Linked DNA regions of Astyanax mexicanus. Each later gene encodes a partner of the first gene's protein in a complex. Links are inferred from orthologs where the notes say so. Each region holds a gene or a part of one and is shown on either strand. Other genes may lie near its edges.

Region 1 (7,098 bases):
CTTACAGAATTAACTGAAACAAGTTTTGTAGACCAAATTTCCATGACTTTTTCAAAGGTTTCTGGGTATTTTAATTTCTCCAAAACTAATTCAGGTCTGGAAAACCTTCAAAGTTTTTCCATGGCCGTACGAACCCTGCTATTAACAGGACGTTTGCGCTGAAATCACCATGAAAAAAAATTGACAATGTGCATTGTGGAAAAACACAATTTCATCTTCTGTTTAAGAAATGTTATGCAGCTGCAATGTTTGAACACCTGAGGTCACAATCCATCTAGTGCAGGCCAAGGAACCAGTGGGCGTAAGCAAAGAGCGGAGGACAGGTCAGTCATTTCTGACTGAAGAAAAAATTAATTTAAATCCTGATTATAGTTGCCAACATGTTATATACACCTTCATTTTTAGCTTTCAACCAACTGTACACAAACATTAAAGTGAAAGGTTTCTCAAGAAAATAGTTTATGAATTTTCACATTTATCGAAATTTAACCCTCTATTAAATTAGAATAGATCTATTGTGTGTGTGTGTGAGTGTGTATATACACATTATATATATATATATATATATAAGCTTAAACCACTGGATTTTAAAAGTAGCACAGCCAGTGTAGATATTTTATAGACAAATTGTAGAGCAGTGCTCATGCAGGCTTCAGTACTGACTTCTGAATGAAATAATTTAGTGTAATGCATTTAAATGTTTTAAGGTATTGCATTTTAGACATTTTAAGACTTTAAGACATTTGCGGGAACCCTGTAGTAACGCAGCCAGCAACACTGTTTTTTTTTTTTCAAGCATACGATAAACAAGTCTGCAAAACTCTGTGTAAACCATCTAGAATACCCAGTATAGTTCAGATTTTTGTGCAACCCTAATAACAATAAAGCATCACTTCAGCTAACTCTGCAGACCTGAGTTTATCGTGCCACACAAGGAAAGAAATGTACGATAAACAGCGTGGAATTAGCGTCTGCAGAAAAGCACTTACGGGCAGTTTGGTGAGGGCCGGGTTGCTCACTCTTCGTCCAAAAGCGTCCTCCTGGAACTGGAGCAGCTGCACCACCAGCCCTGCCAGAGTCTTACAGGATGGAGAGTCGGCCTGGACATGCTGCAGAAAATACGAATACAAAACCATACGTTCAGAACCGGCAGCCATAAAGTTTTAATAAGCTATGTGTATATTACTTTACATTATATTGCATTTTGCAGACGCCTTTGTCCAAAGCGACTTACAATAGTGAAGTACAGTAAAAGAAAAGTTATAGAAGTTAAAGGTAAAACATCTTTAGACAGGGTCTAAAGGAGGTTAAAGGGGAATAATGGGATAGAGGAGTAAAGGAGGGGAAGAAGGAAATGAGGTTAGAAGTAGTTAGCTTGTTTGCTATGTTCAGACAATGTGTTCACTAAACCAGATATTATTAATGTAATGGAATGGAATACCAAATGTCTGACTTATTATTATACCTGCATAAGTATCTCAATACCAATACTGAAAAGGTTTAAAAAAAAAATACATCAAAAACTGAATATTAGGAGATCGAACATGGAACTCAAAAGTTAGTTTTTTTTTTAACAAACAAAATGAATAAATGTTTAAAATTCAGATATATAGTGAGCCATAGGTCAGTGTTTTACATAGAAAATCAGGGGGCATTCCAGTTAAAATTTCCTACTTGGCACTCAGTAATTCTAATATTAGAGTTCAAGTGGAGGTTACAAACCATTGTTTAAATTAGGGTTTTTAAATATGGCTTCCACAAACAAAAAACTAAAAGCCATTAATTAATGTGTTTAAGAGGTAAAGGATAGTTTTACTTTACTACTGCAAGCGTGATACAGAGGCCATATTCACGAATACTTTACTACTTTAATACTTACATGACATAGTAATGTAGTAGTGGATATTTTTAAAGTAAACAACAAAACACTTCTGTAAGTCGCTGAGGATATGGTCTGCTAAATACTTAAAAAAAAGTAAATGTAGGGATTTTTTCACCAACATTTATGCACCTCACATTCTAAATTTCACATTTTCTGATTTTTTTCTTGCATTATTTTCTATACTAACTGTCGTCTAATATCTAAACTATTGTTTTAACCCGGATTAACCTTCATTAATTAGTTACCAGCACGGCTAAATTACTTTAACTCGTCTAACAGAACTAAAAAACAAACAATCAGACCGGTTATATTGTGATAAATATTATTATTATATATTTAAACCCCAGAAACAGAGAAACAAACTTCACCCACACAATGAATCAAACCGTCTACCATCATAAACACCCCTAAAACCAGCAGATATTTAATTCACACTGGATATAAAACAGCCCAGGCAGCGTTATATCAGCTTATTTCATATTATTTCAGGATTTAAAGTGGATTAAACTTGAATAAATTATAATAAACCAGGTTAGATAGAGTAACAGCCGTTAGCTTAGCCGCCACTACACACCAAAACACTGTTAGCTTAGCTTAGCTTTAGCGTACTTTAGCTCGTTTTTAAGCAGATTTACGCTTTAAAACACATAAAAAAACAAACTATTACCGACCATAAACTAATAGATAAAAGAGTTGTGCGCGGTTTAAACTGATTAAATGCTGATTAAACGCGAATAACGCTGTAAAACTGTGTGTTTCAGCGGGTTAGTGTGTGATTTAGCTCCTCGCGAGCTCTATTGTGTTATTGTGTGTGAGCGCGCGCCACGGGCCGCATTAGCGTTAGCTACGTTAGCATTAGCTACACTAGCATTAGCTCCAGCACGGGTTTTACACAGACCGTTAGCATTAGCATTAGCCGCTAACCTTCTTGTAGTGCTTGCTGATCCACTGCCGCACAGCCTCCAGCTGCGCCACGGTCTCCCCGCTCTCCCAGAACTTCCCCGCCGGTCCGCCGTCCTTCTTCCTGCCTACCGCGGCACCCGCGGCTCCCGCCGCCCCGCCGGTTCCAGTCCCGGCCCCGCCGGACCCCGCTCCCCCCGCTGTTCCCGCACCGGTCGCCGCCATCCTCGCGCCGCTCCACTCGCTGCAATCCGCGCCTCGCCGCGCGCTGCGCTGCTTTACCGCCGAGCGCGAGAGGCCCCGCGAGCTCACACGCGGCAGCGCCCCCACAGGCGGAGCAGAGAAACTGCAGCAGGACGCTAAAAAAAATAATTCGATTAATCACAACAAAATTCTGTGATTAACTGCGATTAATCGCATTTGGGTTTTTTTTTTCAGACGCGAATTTTTATAGTGGATATTTAAATTAATGCAAGATAATTAATGATACTTAATAAATAATTAATGCAAGAGATGTAAAATGCAATTATATGTATATAAGTGGTGTCAATTAAAATTATAGTATATACTTGTATGTTTGAGTGGGGGACAGCCAACTTGGTGCCTTAATTAACTTGGTAAATTAATTTAAATTGGTATAGTGATTCCAAATTAACAGCGCACAATAACACTTTAATACATTACATTACTACTGAGCCCCTAACATGACATCATGTAAAAAAGAGATGATTAAGGTGTGGGAACGAGATACTTATGCGTGGGAATGAGATACTAATGCGTGGAAACAGGATAATTAAGATGTGGGAATGATATCATTAAGACACGACCACAACTTATTAACGTGTGGGAACAAGATCCCAAGGAATGGGAACAAGATAATTAAGGTGTGGAAATAAGATCATTAAGGCGTGGGAATGAATTAATTAAAACAGTGCTATTAAGGTGTGAACAAAAGGTCCTTTTGTTTCACAGCTAACAAAGCGAGCAGCTCTACTGTATGCGTCTAAGCCAATCAGCTTTTAGTATGCAAATTAAGTGTCTTTTACTTTATTCCAAAATATCAACATAATTTCTTAATTTCCTTATTTTTCTTTATTTAGAATAAAAATAAACCAGTTCACTCTCCATTTTCTTACTAAAGATTATATTTGGATTAAATATGTAATATACAGTTTCTTCATGAGCATTAATTTACAGAAAAGCAAGCTTTATTATTCTCAGCTAGATTAAATGAACTCGTTCCCATGCCTTAATGATCTCATCCCCACTCCTTAATTATCCAGTTCCCACGCCTTAGGATCTCGTTCCCACGCCTTAATAAGGCATGGTCATGCTTTTATTTTTACATGATGTCCCTTTATGGGCTCCAGACATAATATTGCATTACATTAAATTGCATTACATACACTCACAATATTTAAATCACTCGATCAGTAATTACGCCCCCTGGTAACATCTAATCATCTGTGTCTGATCGCTATCAGAGGCACACTGCTCAGCCCAATCAGCTCTTGGAAAAATATGAGCAATAAATAATGAAGCAATGCAACATGTGTGTCAGAGAGATTTTTCTCCACAATACAGCTAAAAAAATTTTTTGCATCACTTTTAAAATGTGGCAATGTTTTCTAAAATACTCATAAGAGCTTAAAGGCTAAAGCTACCGGACCTAAGCGCTACTTTATAAGAACTAATACGCTAAAGCTAGCAAAGCTAGGCACTGGGGCTTGCTGAGACCAGCTTCCTGTTAGCTAACAGGGTTAATAGCTTGAGATAGCGAAGATCTGCAGAAACTCCACCTATAACACATTCATTAGTAACTTGAGGTGTTTAGGAGAACAGGTTAGCTGTTCACACGAACATCGCTCTGTCAGTGACTATTATAATCATTAATAAAAAAACTACTAATGCTATTATATTAATAAAACACTATTGTTTTAGTTTCAGTGATTTTACCTCTTTAAATAACAGAAAATTAAAGTAATATAAAATTCATTTATAGAAAAGTTATTGCATATTATATATGTCATTAATGAAGAATGAAAATAGTGTGAACTTTTCTATCAAACAAGTTTTTTCAATAAAAAATATATAGTTGTTATTACAATAATGATCATATAATTTTTCCATTATCCTGAAAGAAGGTGTGTTTAGATCTTCTTGCTGGGAGAAATGAGCATTGCATCCATTTAGTGTCATTAAGATGTTCTGCATATTATACAAATAACATCTGGCATGTTTGTGCTCTTCCAATACTGATATAAAATATTATTTGCTACCAAAACAGATCCACCGAGTACTGCGGTAAAGTTAGTTTTATGTCTGACATTCGTGAGAGATTCGGAATTCTGGACAAGTCTTTTATTTAGCAGGTAATTTCAAACTAACAAGTCAGGCCACTAATCAAAAGTTTTCTGTTTAACAATGACAAAAAGACACAAATTTTATACATGTAAAAATGGGTCATATGTTCTCCAGAAAGCATCTAAGACCTTAATAATGACTGTAATACATTTTGTTTTAATGATCACTGCTTTAACATTAAGCACCAACCTTATACAATTTCATCTTCATCTTCTTTTTGCAGTATCACAGAGCGCACTGTGCGCATTATTAGGGTAATTACGGTAATTTCACAGTGTGTTTATCTGCCGCTGCAGGTTATTCTCTAATATCAGTGGTGATAATAGAACCAGTGACACCATTTGTCATATTTTAACCTTACTTATCTTAAAATCATCAATATCTTCCAAATGTTAAACACTGGAAGGTGCAGTAATCTGATTAATCCACATTTTTGTAATGTTCTGTGAGTGTTACAGGTGTGTAAAATAAAATTGTGCTCCACTTCAGTCCTCCTGTGCTCAGTAGAAGTGATAACTCTCATAAACCTTTACTGTAGGCTGTGTCCTACATCCTTATTTTGTTGGAAATCGTGTTACATAACACAACTTTCTCAGAATTGAACAGCAGAACATGGTAACCCTTTACTAATAACTGAAGAGTTGCTGTGTTCTTCTTAAGAAGTTAATGCAGATTATATCACAGTATTATAAACTGAGAAACATGGTAACTAATTACTAATAGTTGAGGATTATTTAACCTAGCTAACTAACCGACATCTAAACTAGCTAACGTAGCTAGCTTACTAACACAAAAAAAAACAACTAACACACATACAAACTAGCTACACAACTTAGCTAGCTAACTAACACACCTCACCTAGCTAACTAACACACATTTAACCTAGCTAACTAACACACATTTAACCTAGCTAACTAACACACATTTAACCTAGCTAGCTAACACACATTTAACCAAGCTAACTAACACACATTTAACCTAGCTACTAACACACATTTAACCTAGCTAACTAACACACCTCACCTAGCTAACTAACACACATTTAACCTAGCTAACTAACACACATTTAACCTAGCTAGCTAACACACATTTAACCAAGCTAACTAACAAACATTTAACCTAGCTAACTAACATACATTTAACCTAGCTAACTAACACACATTTAACCTAGCTAACTAACACACATTTAACCAAGCTAACTAACACACATTTAACCAAGCTAACTAACACACATTTAACCAAGCTAACTAACACACATTTAACCAAGCTAACTAACACACATTTAACCCAGCTAACTAACACACATTTAACCAAGCTAACTAACACACATTTAACCCAGCTAACTAACACACATTTAACCTAGCTAACTAACACACATTTAACCTAGCTAACTAACACACATTTAACCAAGCTAACTAACACACATTTAACCAAGCTAACTAACACACATTTAACCAAGCTAACTAACACACATTTAACCCAGCTAACTAACACACATTTAACCTAGCTAACTAACACACATTTAACCTAGCTAACTAACACACATTTAACCTAGCTAACTAACACACATTTAACCCAGCTAACTAACACACATTTAACCAAGCTAACTAACACACATTTAACCCAGCTAACTAACACACATTTAACCCAGCTAACTAACACACATTTAACCCAGCTAACTAGCACACATTTAACCAAGCTAACTAACACACATTTAACCAAGCTAACTAACACACATTTAACCTAGCTAACTAACACACATTTAACCAAGCTAACTAACACACATTTAACCAAGCTAACTAACACACATTTAACCTAGCTAACTAACACACATTTAACCAAGCTAACTAACACACATTTAACCAAGCTAACTAACACACATTTAACCAAGCTAACTAACACACATTTAACCCAGCTAACTAACACACATTTAACCTAGCTAACTAACACAC
Region 2 (7,360 bases), on another chromosome or scaffold:
AATCAGATAAACTGATTCAGAAACTAGAGCGGTCTCTTAATTTTTCCTGAGCTGTGTTAAGAGTGTCCAGTTTTTTCACTTCCTTTGTAAAGGTCCCACCTTTATACCAGAAGCACAGAGCGACTGAATTTGACTTTACACCAGAGGGGATGTGAGATAGAGGCCCACAGTAATGGAAATCCAACTTCTTATTGCACATCACATTTTTGTCCATATCATGCACCCCTATTCTAGAGTAGATAAAGATCAACCTTCTGGCATCATGCCTCATGCCAGGTCTGAGCAAGTATAAAGCCTTCCTTGGACAGTAGAGAAGTTATAGAGAGATATTCCAATAAAAACTACTCTTTTTTTAATACATTTAATTTCATAAGAAACAATGAATGAGCAGGTGGTCCATATATAGACAGTTTAGTCCATACAGTTTGTCTTAAAACAGCAGTTTCTGAATCATACTGATGGTAAACTGACTGCAACAGCAAGAATGGCAACTTTGTCATTTCCACTCCAAAATTCTGATACTGCACTACAGAACTTTGAAGCTGTATGACACTGCTCTCCAGTACTGTATCAGTGTGTAACCCAATTCATATATGGGCCTGTTTACACCTGCCATTGTCTCTGGATGGTATCTATATGCTTGACCGAATTCTGTTTACACTTGTATTACAATACCTCCCCGGTTTGACCAGAAGAAATACGTTTTTATTTTCCAGTATAAAAGAACAATAACACCCACACTTATCCTGTTATTTCCTATTTCTCATAAAAATTCTAAATACGCATATATATATATACACATGTTAAACAAGCCCTATGTGTAACTTCCTGTAAGGTTACTCTACCTTCTTAGTCCACCGCTGCTTTTGTGTCTTTCAGCTTGTCAACAAATGCTTGTGTACAGCTTGTCCATGAGGGAGCCTTTAAAGCACCTAACACTACTTTAAGTCAAAACATCTGTTTCTTTCTTTGGTCCGAAGCAGTTAACAAGTTTATTAACTTGGAATGTCACCGTCTTTGGTTTGTTTTGGGTTCACACATAAAAAACTGCAAATAGAACAAAATGCATCACAACAAACCATGAGAGAACTTTCTCTCTGATTATTGGTCAAACATTTCTGGGGCAGACCTAGAAAGTAAATGCATGAAAATAGTGCGGTGTTCCAGACTAGCACATATTTTAGAGCAGTGTCAAAGATAGCATTCGTCAACAGCAGTAGTAATTATCTAGATAACAAATCAGGTCAAATTCAATTCAATTTATTTGATGGTTGGGTCAGATCGAGGTCAGGCCACGTTTACACCTCAAACAATGCGTTTCGGGGGTTCGTTTGGAGCTGAGATGAGATTACCTCCTTTTCACACCAGCCAAAATAAACTGCTCTAGGGGTGCAAATAAACCAGAGTCGGCGTTAACCCGTTTAAAAAGTGCTGCTGTGTAAACAAACACCCTTAAACATACTGTAGGTTTTTCCATTTTCTATCAATGAACCAAGCAAGAGAATCAGTATTGAAAATATTCACGTGGACATTCACATGTACAGCCAATCAGAACACAGTTGACAGGATCCAGGATCCTGTGTTAGTTTAGATTAGCTTCAGGGGCTGTGTCTCAAACTGAGGTAATCTCTAATGTTTACTTTTACATTCTTTAGTCAGTTGCAATGTTCACACCTTGCACAAACATACATCCTGGGAGACCCAATCATAATTGATTGCCAAAATGTACTGCCAGTCCATCTGGCATTTGATATGCACGTCCTGTGACCACTTGTGACTGGATTTCTCACATCACTTCCGCTGGAAAAGGAAGCACCATGGAACTCACTCACAGAGGAAAAACACTCCCTCAATAGCATATGCGTGTGTGTGCAAGACTGACAAGATCAAAGCAGTGTAAAAGTTTGTGTGTGTGGGTAAGACTGAAATGATCAAAGCAGTGTAAATCAGAGTTGTGTGTGAGAGCAGATGTTTCTCAACAGGTGATTTAGACTTGGTGAGAAGCCATCACACACAGACACACACACACACACACACACACACACACACACACAGAGTGTGTGGATTTAAAATTAGCTCATTATTAGATCAGAAAAGGAACTCAGCCACAATAAACACACACTGTTCTAGATGTGTGTGTAAGAGCTGAGTTGAGGTGAGCAGGACTGTAGCCTTACATCACTACTAAAATATTTCAGACCAAACTCTCCTAGTTCTCTCACTTTCTCTCTTCCTCCCCTCTCTTTCTCCCTCTCTTTTTCTCTCTAGATGAAGTCCTTTCTAACATTCTCTTCCCTTTGCTTCCCTCTATCTTCACTCTCCCTTTTCACATATATAAAATCATTTGATGGATAGTTATACCCATGTTTTAATCCACCCCACACCCAGAGAAAGAGGGAGAAAAAGAGATAAGAGAGAGAGAGAGAAAAAGGGAGAGAGGGATGGTGATTAGTGTGTAGAGACACCGCTCCAGCTGTCACAGGACACACGCACGAACAAACATTTTGTCAGTAAGAAATAACTAAGCTGTTAAGCTGTATTTTTGAAATAGTTCGTTCCACCTTATTGCAGCAGTTACACTCTCCATTTAAGGTGGACCGAACATTTCCATTAAGACAGAAATGGTCAGATACAGATGCTCACTGTCAATCTCACCCACTCTTTAAAACACTGACCCTGTTCTAATTTGTGTGTGTTAACTACAGTACCCCCGACCCCTCCCATAGCCCCTCTCTACCTCCAGCGCTAACGTGCTAACGCTAGCCCTCGCGGGCCGCCCTCCACCGGACCCTCGGAGCGAACCGGGAGACACTCACCTTCGCCGGGACGGGGGGCTGCGCTGCTGTCCAAGCGGGTGGTGTGTGTGTGAGTGTGTGTGTGTGTGTGTGTGTGTATGTGAGTGTGAGAGAGTGTGTGTCCGGTTAGATTTCCCCCATGGCCGAACTCTCTCCGGTCCTGTCCAGTAAGAACTAAAACTTTTCCCCCCCGTGCTCCCCCGCGCAGCTGCGCCGTTGTGCGGCCCGCTCTCAGCGCAGCGCGGCCGGACTGAACCACTGCAGCGCTGCGGAGGGGGGGACGGTACAGTCTCTCGGATACGGAATCCCCCCTCAAAGACCGAGCGGAGGGGAGGTGGGGAAGGTGGTCCTGCTGGAACCGGACACCAGGGAGGAGCTTAAAAAGGAGCAACACATAAATAACAGGCCTGGGTAAATACAGACCTCACAAATAAAAGTCCTCACTCACGTTTTTAACAGTAAGTTATATTAATTAGATCAATATGTATTAGTCAATAAACCGATCAATCAATCAACCTTTATTTTGACTCGGAAGTACATCTAGGGCAACCCTCTTTTTTATGTAGCTGAGCATTTACAAATACAGGGATTGACATGATAAAGAAAATAATAACTACATTTAATAATTTAAAAATAACAGTAAATAAAAGATAAAAATAGATTTTAAAAAATCATATTAATAATAAAACTTGGTTTAATTGCTAAGAAATTAAGAAGATAAGAGTAATACAAAAAAACTGTTAATATTAAGTTAAAACTAACTTTTACATAGTACAATAAAAAATAAACATTTATAAATAAAAAACAATAATAACAATAATAATCATAAACTTTTAATAAGTTAAAATGTAATAATACAAAACAAAAAATACAAAAAGAAATAATGAAAGAAATAAAAAGGAAATAAATAACTAAGAGAGGACTAAAATAAAAATAAAAGAATAAATACGATTAAGTAAAACAGGTACAGGCTGTCTGAAGGTGGTTAGATATTAAAAGACTTACAACGACTCAGTTGTACATGTACTACTTACAAAATATTTATAAGAATCTTTTTAGGATTGTAAAAAATACATTATTTATATGTGGTCTTGTAAATTATAATGTATTTATTATTTATTCATTGTGTTTGTGTCAGTGTCCATCATTTGAACACGAATAGTCCAAATAAAATACATGGATAAAAACAAATGCTATTATTTATAAATATACACGTGTTTATTAGATATCAAAGTGCATGCATATTCATTATCTTCTATTTAAATATTTATTTAGATTACTGTATTAATTCAATGTATTTTTTGTTTTATACAGTATTGGAACCATTTATTTTCAGACAATTTTTTTAACAGAATAATAATTAAAATATACACAACATTACAAGTGCCTCTATCAGCATGTCTTAGGATTAGAGCATATGTTCTATACTAAAGTAAACCATTCATGTTTTATAGAAAACATCTATCAGTTAGCCTATCAGCTGCAGCGCGCGCGCGTGTGTGCAGTACTGCAGCCACCAACAGGGGGTGCAGTTTGACCGTTTCTAAACTCAGAACAGCTTAAGGACCGCCATGTCACTCTCACCTTCTGCATACCTCCTCATCCCTCACTTCTTTCATCCTTTTCTCTTTCATTGTTGATTTTGCAAGTTCCTCAGTATGAAACAGGACCAGATGGGGGTTCTGAGTGTGGTTCTTAGTGAATTATATAGCTTACTGTACCACCTCCAAATCCTCTCACACGCAAACACCTACACACACTCCTGTCCACACACTTACATTCTGCTGCAGAAAAGATGATCCCACCTTAGAGCCCTCTCTCTCTCTTTCTCTCTCTCTCTCTTTCTCTCTCAGCCGGCGGGTGCACGCACGCGCACACTGGCGAGCTGTTGCCGAGCTGCAGCTCTCGAAGGAAGAGCAGAGGCACGTGCACGAGCATTATTTAGCCTGTCGTGTCAGTCAGGACTTCAGGACTAATAAACAACAAATTTCTGCACACGACTCGCCTGAGGAGTGAAACTGGAGGGACTGAGCGATAGACATGAGTGGTGGAGTCTACGGTGGAGGTAAGAGAGAAACATCACTGTAACTCCATCATCACTGTAGCTCTGTCATCACTGTAGCTCAATCATTACTGTAGCTCTGTCATCACTGTAGCTCTGTCATCACTGTAACTCTGTCATCACTGTAGTTCTGTCATCACTGTAGCTCAATCATTACTGTAGCTCTGTAATCTCTGTAACTGTCATCACGGTAACTCTGTCATCACTGTAGCTCTGTCATTGTAACTCGATCATTACTGTAGCTCTGTCATCACTGTAACTCCATCATCACTGTAGCTCCATCATTACTGTATCTCCATCATCACTGTAGCTCCATAATTACTGTAGTGCTGTCCATCACTTTTACTCCATCATTACTGTAGCTCCATCGTTTGCTTCTATTATTGATTTTACCACTGTAACTCCATCATCACTTTAGCTTTGTTATCACTGTAACTGTCATAACTGTAGCTCCATCATTACTGTAGCCCTGTCATCACTTTAGCTTTGCCATCATTACTGTAACTCTGGCATCACTGTAGCTCTGCCATTATTACTGTATCTCTGGCAATACTGTAGCTCCATCATTACTGTAGCTCTGTCATCACTCTAGCTCTGCCAACATTACTGTAACTCTGGCAATACTGTAGCTACATCATTACTGTAGCCCTGTCATCACTGTAGCTATCATCACTCTACTTCTGCCACCATTACTGTAACTCTGGCATCACTGTAGCTCCATCATTATTGTAGCTCTGTCATTACTGTTATTCTCTCATCACTGCTGCTCTGTTATCACTGTTGCTCTGTTATCACTGTAGCTCTGCCATCACTGTTATTCTGTCATCACTGTAACTCCACCATCACTGTATAAAAGCCTGTTAAAGCCTCATCCCTTTCTGTCATTACTGTATCATCATTACTGTAACCCCATTCTTACTGTGGCTACATCTCTGTTAATCCATCATCACTTTAGTTATATCATTACTGTAGATCTGTCATCTCTCTCTGTCTCTCTCTTACTGTACTTCTCTCTCTCTCTCTCATTCACACTATCTTTCTTTCTCTCTCTTAGATGAGGTGGGGGCATTGGTGTTTGATATCGGCTCCTTCTCCACTAGAGCAGGTTATGCTGGTGAAGACTGCCCTAAGGTACCCTTACCCATCCATCCATATATTTATCCATCCATCTATCGTTTTAATAACATCCACTAATCCATACCTACATTTATCCACCTTCAGTGTATGAATAAGCAGAAAATATTCTGATGTAAAGCCTCACACCTTTAGATACACCTTGTTTATATCACATCTCCTGCAGGCAGACTTCCCCACCTCTTTAGGAGTGCATGTAGAGGAGGAGGGGCCTGCAGAGATGGGGGCGGAGCAAGATAACAACAGCGGGCGGACTTTCTACATGGACACCACAGCCCTTCATGTACCCCGACCTGGAGTGGAGCTGATATCACCACTGAAGAACGGCATGAGTATGAGACACACACACACACAATCAAATTCTACCATTCTGTTTGATTAGTTTCTCACTGTTTTATTACTTGGTCATCTTGGTCACCTGTCTCACCTCTCAGTGTGTCACTCATACCTTATATATCTGCCTGCCTGCAGTGCGAGTGGAGCAGGGAGAATGAGGAGCTAGCCACCTCAATGTGCTAATCAGCTAGCCATGCTAACTCTGCAGTGCAGAACAGTTTTGAGACTTTTGAACTAGAGACGGACAATTGATCGGCTATGTATTGATATTGGCAGATATTTAAAATAGCCATATTCCACTTGATACCCTTTTAGATCATATCCTCAGTTAAGGATAACAGTAGCTCTGCAAAATTCTAGAGCCTGTACATGGCTGCAGATGCTCATTATAGGCAGTGTTATGCTGGCTCCACTTTGCTTTTACTGTATCTGACTTAAGCGAAAATGTTTGTATAATATGTAAAACCAGTGAATCTTGTGGAGGAAGCAGATTAAACATTTTAACACCACTAACTTGATACCCCTCTTGAGAGTACCTCACTCGGCCCAGTACAGTGAGTATCACAGCAGAGCAGAGCTAACAAACACCACTAACAACACAGAATAGCAAACACTGCAGACCATATTTAACCCCTATTCACTACACTAACCACTACAAAAGTGCATCATGGAATAAAAAGAGGATTCTTTTGGGACAACTCCCCATACATATGTTTTCTTTATAATTTGGATGACTTTAGTATTAATCTACAATGCAGAAATGTTAAAATACTGAAAATAACCTAAAATTAAGGTGTGTCCACTTTTGACTGGTACTGTATATTGGATGTTATCGTGTATTATAGATTGGATTGTATATTAACCGCTCATACAAAAAAAACTCTCATCCAATAATAAATGTAGTCTGATTCTAAGCTTTGATATATATATATATATATATATATATATATATATATATATATATATATATATATATATATAGCTATATAAACTTGTACTAAAGCTGCATCAGTGTCTCATTACAGATGGAGGA
Region 3 (7,865 bases), on another chromosome or scaffold:
TTCTGCACGTGCAAAAATGCAGAATACCGGTATAGGTACAAAAATAACAGAGCTAAATACTTTTTCACCTTTTGTTTTTGAAACGGTGCAAGTATAACATCTCCCCTCTGAACCACTAAAAGCACATCACAGTAATAACACTTGCATTACTATATCTATTTAAAAGGTCAGGGGGAAAAATGCCTCACCTACTACTCACATTACAACATATACTAAAAAGATGGAGAAATGAATTACAATTAATTGGCCACATGTAAGACACAGCACCCACATTACTGCATACAGACACTTTAAATAAGAAAAAAGGAGGAAACAGTAGTTTTAATTTTTTTTACTCACTTAAGGACTTTTGTAGTCTAATTTCTCAGCAGTAAAAAACATACTTTTTTTATTAAACACTGCAGTGCTTGTGTACTTAAAAACCTGGATGTTTGAAATGACCAAAAACATCAGGGAGATGTTCTGATGTGTGAGAATTGGACTGTTGGTGTTGCTCTTATACTGTAAACAAAGCCACAACAGACCATATGCTAAAGTTTCAGGCTCCTAAAACTCCCACCGGCTGTAGGAGACCAAAGAGCACACGGAGAGAGTGAGACAAAGGCCTGAGCTGAGCCTCGTGAACACAACACAAAAACTTTCCTGGAGCCGAAAAGATAAAAGTTGTAATGAGTGAGTTTTATCCGAGGTGTGAAGCTGAGAGCGCCGGTGGCCCGCTGAGCGGCTGGAGTGTGTGTGAGTGAGTGAGTGTGTGTACACATGGCTGAGGAGGGAAACACGCTGACTTACCGAAGGTAGTACTGTTTTAAAACAAAAGCAGCGTTGGAGCAACTCCTCGGGAAATTAAACTCTTCGCCAAGTTCAGACCACTGGTTTTTGTCAGAGACCTACAAAAGAGGGAGATAAACAAAACAAACACGCGTCCATGAGTCTGTGGACATCCACAGGATATAAAAGCTCGTGATAAAGTCGGCATTTCTTCGATTTGACAAGCACATGCGAGCTGATGAGCCGACCGTGCTCGCCTGCCTGCCGCCCGGTCACCAGCTACAGCAGTTTGAATCAGGCAGCCTGCTAACCACCGTTAGCAGTCCGGCTAACCGCACTTTTTAAACAACAAAAAATCCCGAGCCGCGACAGCGAGGCTCCCCCAGCCCGAACCCGTCCCCGCGGTGGAGAGCCGCGGCGGCGGAGGGCATTTGGGCTCGTGTGATGTTGTATTTACAGTGCTGAATAAAACAGGCCTGTCTGTGAGGCCTACGGTTTAGCTGAGCCACGAAGCCAAACACAGGCTATGGCGAGTTACTAGCTTCCTCCAAGCGAGCGCGGTGGAAAAGCGCGGCCGAAAGCCGAGCCCGCGGTGCTGCCCGCCGGTAATCGATGTTTAGCCTCCGCCGCTGGTTTGGAGTCGCTCAAACTGCACTCGCACTCCCCGGCGGAGCAGCGGAGCCGCTAACATCCCGGACTTTCAATTCATACCCGCTCTCTCTCTCCCCCTCTCCCTCGCTCTCGCTCACACACAGGCTTCACCACACAAGGCCATTTTATAGCCCCAAACTCGGGCTGGAAATCGGTTAAATACGCCAGAACCTCCAGGCCGAGCCGGCGGCCACAGGAGCCGGCAAGAAGCCCCGCCGAGAGCTCCGGAGAGAGGCATTTATGAGCACTTTTGGTCGCACTAACCTTAGCGAATCCACCTAAAGAGACGACTCTCGAGTAGAGAGCGCCCAGGTCCAGCTCCTTTCCACCCACCAGCGGGACCTTCTTAAACGGCGACCTGGAGAAAGAGAAAGAAGCACACGGTTAACCGAGGACGGACTGGACGCTCCGGCCGCTCCGGACGACTTTAAGCAGCTTGAAGTTTAACATTTGGACGAATAAAAGGCATCCCCCCTCCTCTCACCCTCTGCTTTGGTGAAATTGCCGCAGCTCGTCCAGGAAAGCTAGTCCTTTCCTCCGCTGCTCGGGCAGGCTTTTTCCCGTCGAATTTGCCATCGTTTCGGATCCTCAAAAGCGGTCAAAACCCGGACTGCTTCGCTTCCTACGACGCCGGGGATCCCATGCTCCGGCGGCGCTCAGTCATTCGCGAGGCTGAGTGTTTAAAAAGTTAAAGAAACGGCGAAGGGAGAGCAGAGCGCCAGCTCTCAGCTAATGAGGACTGTTGAGAGGAGCCGCACAGAAAACAGACCTGATCCGAGCCCGCTCTAACTTCGGCCAAAACATCGGAATAGCGCTCGGATTCAACGGCACACCAGCGTTGCCATGGCGCGAGATGTAAAAATGAAGACCGTGCTGGCTGCTGGACGTGTTGGTTTTGGAGTGGTTTTGACAGTGTGCTACAGACGCGGCGGCATACACACTCTCTCACACACACACTGTGAAGCGGGATCCAGTTCTCAAACAAAAAGACCCGAGCGAGGCCGCGGGCCCTGGCCGCTCTGCAGCGCCCCCGCGCCGCCCGCACAGGTAGTGCACCGGCCGAGGCGCCTCGGCGGAACAATAGACAGACAGTGTTTTCAGTTTTTTCCTTTTTTTATTTCTTTTTTTAAGGGCTCATCTGAAACTTCCGAGATCCGTTAAAACTGAACAGAGCGGAGAGCGTCTGTGGGGGAGGGGGGAGACACCAAATTCACCAGACGAGTAAAAATACATCAGCCCCCGGCAGGTTACAGCGCTGCTGCCTGACCAAAACAGGTCTTATAGTTTACATACATCTCTGTGGGGAAAAAAAATATTTTCACTGACAGGGACAAAATAAATAATAAATAAAATATATAACTAAATAAAAGTTGATTAGTTTGCTAAATGAGAATGGAAATAATAATAATTGTTGCTGTTATTGTTATTCATTTTTACAAACTTGTAAAAACAATTGCATGAAAACAAAAAAATAAATTATAGAGATTAAACAGTTTTGAATAATTTACAACAATATGTATTGTTATTTAACCCTAACCTGTTTGTCATTAAGAGTCTGACTCAACTGGGTTTAAAATAAAGACCTCATCAACTCGCCTCTGCTCGTCTTACTTTTATGTAATTAATTTAATATTTTGGGCTACAGTTCATCTGGGCAGCCCTACAAAAACATGAGTGCATGTATTTTAAACATACAGGTACAGGTAGAAACACCTGAGTAGTGGGGAGTTTTGGGCTCCGCGCTGTGGTGTTTGTTCTTGAACAGTGTGTGTTCAGTGGTGAGCAGTGAGTGCTGTCTGTTGGTGTAAGTGTAAATTGCCGCTGATCCCTGGTATCTCCTCCTCCTCGCTGCCAGGCGTGTATCTCTCTAACTGACGGCTTTACTACATTCAACCATTACACGCTCCCCTTTGAGCGGAGCGCGCTCTGTCACAAAATGGCGGAGCTCAACACCAAAGACCCCATTTTGTCACACTGACACGGAGGAGGACTGAACTGAAACGGCTTTCGGCAATGGGAAAATCTGTCGTTAAACGGCTTTTTTCTAACGCGAATTGGCTGCGTTACACCGGGGAACATTAGCTAGCACCGGCGAGCCGCGCCGCAGCTCCGCGGAAACAGCAGCTCCACTGGAGACGGCAGCTAATGAACTAACTTCACCTGCCCGCAGCTCTTCAATTCCACCTTAAATATCGCATCGGTTACATTAATATGTTGCTCCTTCAGTAGCTACATGTGTCTAAAGTGTAACTGTTACTTTATTTAAGGTGGAGTGGAAACATTGAATACGATTCTCTACATGATCCGACTACTGCTCGGCTACAGATCCGCTGTAACCTGTCCGCTGCTGTCTCAGCTCTCACACACACTTACACACACATATTGTGTCACACACACCGCCGAAAACCCATCCTCTGACATCCAGCCCGCCGCTGTGTTTAGTTTAAGAGGCGCTGTGGGATAAACCGGTTTAGATATCGGCGTGTTTGGTTTGGTTTTCGGTGTAAAACCGCGTTTAAACCGCCGACCTTCACCCGCGACGGTTAGCTCACTAGCATTTCTTAAGCTAAGCTAGTTGGCGTTAGCCGCTTAGCTTAATATGTCAGTCAGGTCTGTAGCTAATTCAGTTGCTGCGCGGCTCTCTGGGCATTTACTGCTTTGTTATCTCAGTCATTAAGCTTCTGAGGTAAACATACTTCTTATTATTCGAGTGTGCGGCGGGTTATAGCCGTCCTGCGTTTATCTGTGTAGTCTGAAACCCGAGCGGGAGGCTGAACTCAGTGACCCGCCGCCACCATTAGACTGCTGCTGCTGTTAACTGTGAACCAGCGTTAGATTTATAATACATTACAGCAGCCCGAGCACAGCTACTGCACCCCGCCACCACAGATCATTACAGGCTTTCACATTCGGCCAGTGTAACGTTTATTAATTACATTTACTGACCATTTGAGGTAAAATGCAAAAATATTAAATTGGATGTAAAAACTCATTATTTTTTAAAAATGAAGTGCGGTGTACAATAAATAAGTTTTCATCCATTTTTCCAATTGTAGTTTTTTTTTTATCTCTGCCCCTTACTATATATATATATATATATATATATATATATATATATATATATATATATATATATATATATATATATATATATATATATGATTATTTTGCAAGTTCAGATCTGTATTGAAAGATACAAAAATTGACAAATCTGAAAATTGAGAGAAGATTCAGCTTCGAGATTCGACCACATTCACCCTACTGTGCTTTTTTTTATTCAGAAATATACATAAATAACCAATAAACAAACATTCATTAATTTATACTGTGTGTGTTTGTTTTGGCTTTTGTTTCTAGCTAACCCGTTTTTGCCCACCAGCTTCTTTAGTCCATAAATACTACGGACCTCATAAGTCGTTTAAAACGTGTATAATAAAAATACATTTAATAGGTTATAAATGTTCTTTATTTCTGTCTATGCAGATGTTGATGCATAATGTATTGGCTTATTCCATATCTATGTAACTAGTGTAGCTATGATTAGTGTGTTAGTTAAATTTCGATTATTAATTTGGTTTAAAAACCGCATTTCTTCAAATTTGAGTATCAGTATAAATTATTTTTATTGCTCTTCATTGATTAAAGTGTCATTCTGACTTTCAGACAGTGCACAGAGTGACTGTCCTGAATGAATGGACAGAGAAAGACAGTTGAGCAGAGTGCTGATCGTCCTCCGGGGAGTCATTAAGCCGCGGTGAACAGCGCCCTCTATCGCCAACACCACCGCAGTACACACTGACTCCTCTCTACAGCACTACAGCACAACATGACTCGACTGACCTCCAGTTATACACCGGTATTCTCAAGGATCTGCTGGAGGTAAAACAGATCCGGATCCGAGTCGCCTGCTGTCTGGGTACAGTCAAATATCAAAATATAGAAAATAGTGAAACAGAGCAACAACAACAAAAAAAGAGGCGACGACAATTTTAACTGTAATGTTTAAGAAAAAAAGTCATTTCGTAAAAATGGCAAAATCACATGAAAATCCTGAAAGAATCCAATCCCGCATCACAAATATTTTTTATTGTAGTCTCAAGATAATACAAAATGCTTTTATAAGATAACAGGGTTGTTTTTTTTAAGATAATTTGACCTTTCGCGTTAAGGCACAAATAATTAAGTTGTAAGTCTAAGATCTGGTTTCCACATACTAAATTGTGGCCACAACTTAATCATCTCCTCTCCATGTCTTATTAAGTCATGCTCATTGCCCACAAAATAATTATCTGATTCCCATGCCTTACTAAGTCATACCCATGATTTAACTATTTTATATCTTTCTTTCAAAGTCATGCCCACAATTTAATTATCTCGTTCCCATGCCTTACTAATTCTTGCCCATGACTTAATTATTTTGTTCCTATGCCTTACTAAGTCATGCCCACAACTTAGTTATCTATTTTTTGTGTGTTACTAATTCACGCCCATGACTTAATTACTGCAGTCCCATGCCACACTAAGTCATGCCCACAACTTAACTATTTTATATCTATGCCCTACTTAGTCATGCCAATGATTTAACTATTTCATATCTGTGTTTCAAAGTCATGCCCACAAATTAATTATCTCATATCTCTGCCTTACTAAGCCATACCCATGACTTTGTCTTTTTCCCATGCCCACAAAATAATTATCTAATTCCCATGCCTTACTATGTCATGCCCATGATTTAACTATTTCATATCTGTCTTTCAAAGTCATGCCCACACATTAATTATCTCATATCTCTGCCTTACTAAGCCAAGCCCATGACTTCATTATTTTATTTGTTTCTTATTAAGCCATGCCCACAACTTACTTATCTCTTTCCAGTGCTTTACTAAGCCAAGCCCATGACTTCATTATTAGGGTTCAAGCACCGAAGGTGCGTAGAACCCTATTGTTTTTGCTAAGATTTTTCTTCTTCTTCTTCTTCTTCTTCTTCTTCTTCTTATTATTATTCTTTTTCTCCTGAAAAAACAGTTGTGCAGCCTAAACCGTAAGTCATAGAGAAATTAAACTTGGTAGGTAGATCTCGGTGGACAACAAAAATGGCACCGATTGGTCAAGTGGTGGCGCTATAAACAAGGAAATTCATTTTTCACAATTTTCTGAATAACTCAAAAACCATAAGACCTACATTCAAAATTCTTTTTTTGATGGATTCCTTGGGTCAATACCAACAACTTTCCAATTTGGACCATGCACTTCCGTCTATATAGATTTTTTGCTAATTTGCATAATATGCAAAACCTACTTTTGCAAACTAGTCCTAGGAATTTTGACCAATCCTGGCATGTTTGGTATCAAAACACTCGTGAGAGCATGCGCTTCAATATTCATTAAGAAAAAGTTGAAATATGTAAACAATATGGCCGCCATATGCAAATTAGTCCTTCCGGATATATGCCCCATTCACTTCAAGAGGTAAATTTGGAGCACTGTTTCTCAGCAACCGTGCAACCTAGCAAGTTGAAACTTTGCATGCAGAATCTATCATACAGCCTCTAAAGGATGTTCAAAGGGCAACTTAATCAATCAACATGGCTGAACACCATCAGCCAATCAGCATTCAGCAGACATTTTGGCAGGCTGAATGTTGCCCAATCTGGATTATATTTGGCAGTTATGTTCAGGTGGAGACACTGTAGTGACCTGCAAAGTGCTGAAACAATCCGCCCACTGGGGGGCGCTGTTCCAAAAAAACGAGTATATGTCAATCATGCTGTACTATTTTGACATCTAATTGTTTTTGCCATATTTAGTACAGTGGCTCTGACAAATTTCTCAATACAACTATGTTTAAAAAGTGCTTTGTTCATTCATAATTGCTAATTGTTTGAAAATAGCTATATTGAAACTACTCTCTGGATATTTGGCCTATCACCTCCATTTCAGTCTTGCTGCACACTGTAGAGTCTCTAGGTAAATGTTCATTAAAAACATTTGTGAAAATTTCACATACAATACTCTCCAGGCATCAAGCAATCTGTGCGTCCTTGGAATTTCTAACCTAAATTGCTGTAACTCTGCAGTATTTGCTGTAATCTCACAATGTTAAAGACCTCTGTACAATATCACTCTGATGAAGCGCCATTTAATACAGAACTAGATTAAGAATAACTTGACATTACATGTCATATCAGAACATTCACTCCTTTGTGTTAATTTAAACTTGTTTGGTCAAACATTTCAGCTTGTTCTGCAAAGGTTCAAAGGTCAATCTGAATACCACTTTGTGAACATTCTGGTTGAAGCCACCTGATCAATACCAATAACATGTAGACACCTTTTGACTAGTTCTAACTCACTTAATGAATATCCTACAAAGTTCACTAGATTTACATGTGAATTTAAGCACTGATCAGGTTGAAAGGCCTCTGCTCAACATTAATAACAGGTGA

What was found. The genes of interacting proteins can lie anywhere in the genome.
Region 2: smarcc1a (region 1) and actl6b share a complex: the UniProt entries of both Homo sapiens proteins name them as parts of the BAF complex. The link is inferred for Astyanax mexicanus from reciprocal best matches to the Homo sapiens genes SMARCC1 and ACTL6B.
Region 3: smarcc1a (region 1) and arid2 share a complex: the UniProt entries of both Homo sapiens proteins name them as parts of the SWI/SNF-B (PBAF) chromatin remodeling complex. The link is inferred for Astyanax mexicanus from reciprocal best matches to the Homo sapiens genes SMARCC1 and ARID2.

What each region holds. Positions count from the first base shown.
Region 1 is NC_064408.1:129,661,266-129,668,363, forward strand, and holds the start of smarcc1a (SWI/SNF complex subunit SMARCC1), read right to left. Parts: upstream 3,023-7,098; 5' UTR 3,008-3,022; coding exon 2,807-3,007; intron 1,110-2,806; coding exon 990-1,109; intron 1-989. UniProt on the Homo sapiens protein: Involved in transcriptional activation and repression of select genes by chromatin remodeling (alteration of DNA-nucleosome topology).
Region 2 is NC_064420.1:26,446,986-26,454,345, forward strand, and holds the start of actl6b (actin-like protein 6B), read left to right. Parts: upstream 1-4,356; 5' UTR 4,357-4,835; coding exon 4,836-4,860; intron 4,861-5,911; coding exon 5,912-5,988; intron 5,989-6,157; coding exon 6,158-6,323; intron 6,324-7,360. UniProt on the Homo sapiens protein: Involved in transcriptional activation and repression of select genes by chromatin remodeling (alteration of DNA-nucleosome topology).
Region 3 is NC_064409.1:38,200,816-38,208,680, reverse strand, and holds the start of arid2 (AT-rich interactive domain-containing protein 2), read right to left. Parts: upstream 3,005-7,865; 5' UTR 1,996-3,004; coding exon 1,904-1,995; intron 1,778-1,903; coding exon 1,684-1,777; intron 888-1,683; coding exon 790-887; intron 1-789. UniProt on the Homo sapiens protein: Involved in transcriptional activation and repression of select genes by chromatin remodeling (alteration of DNA-nucleosome topology). Required for the stability of the SWI/SNF chromatin remodeling complex SWI/SNF-B (PBAF).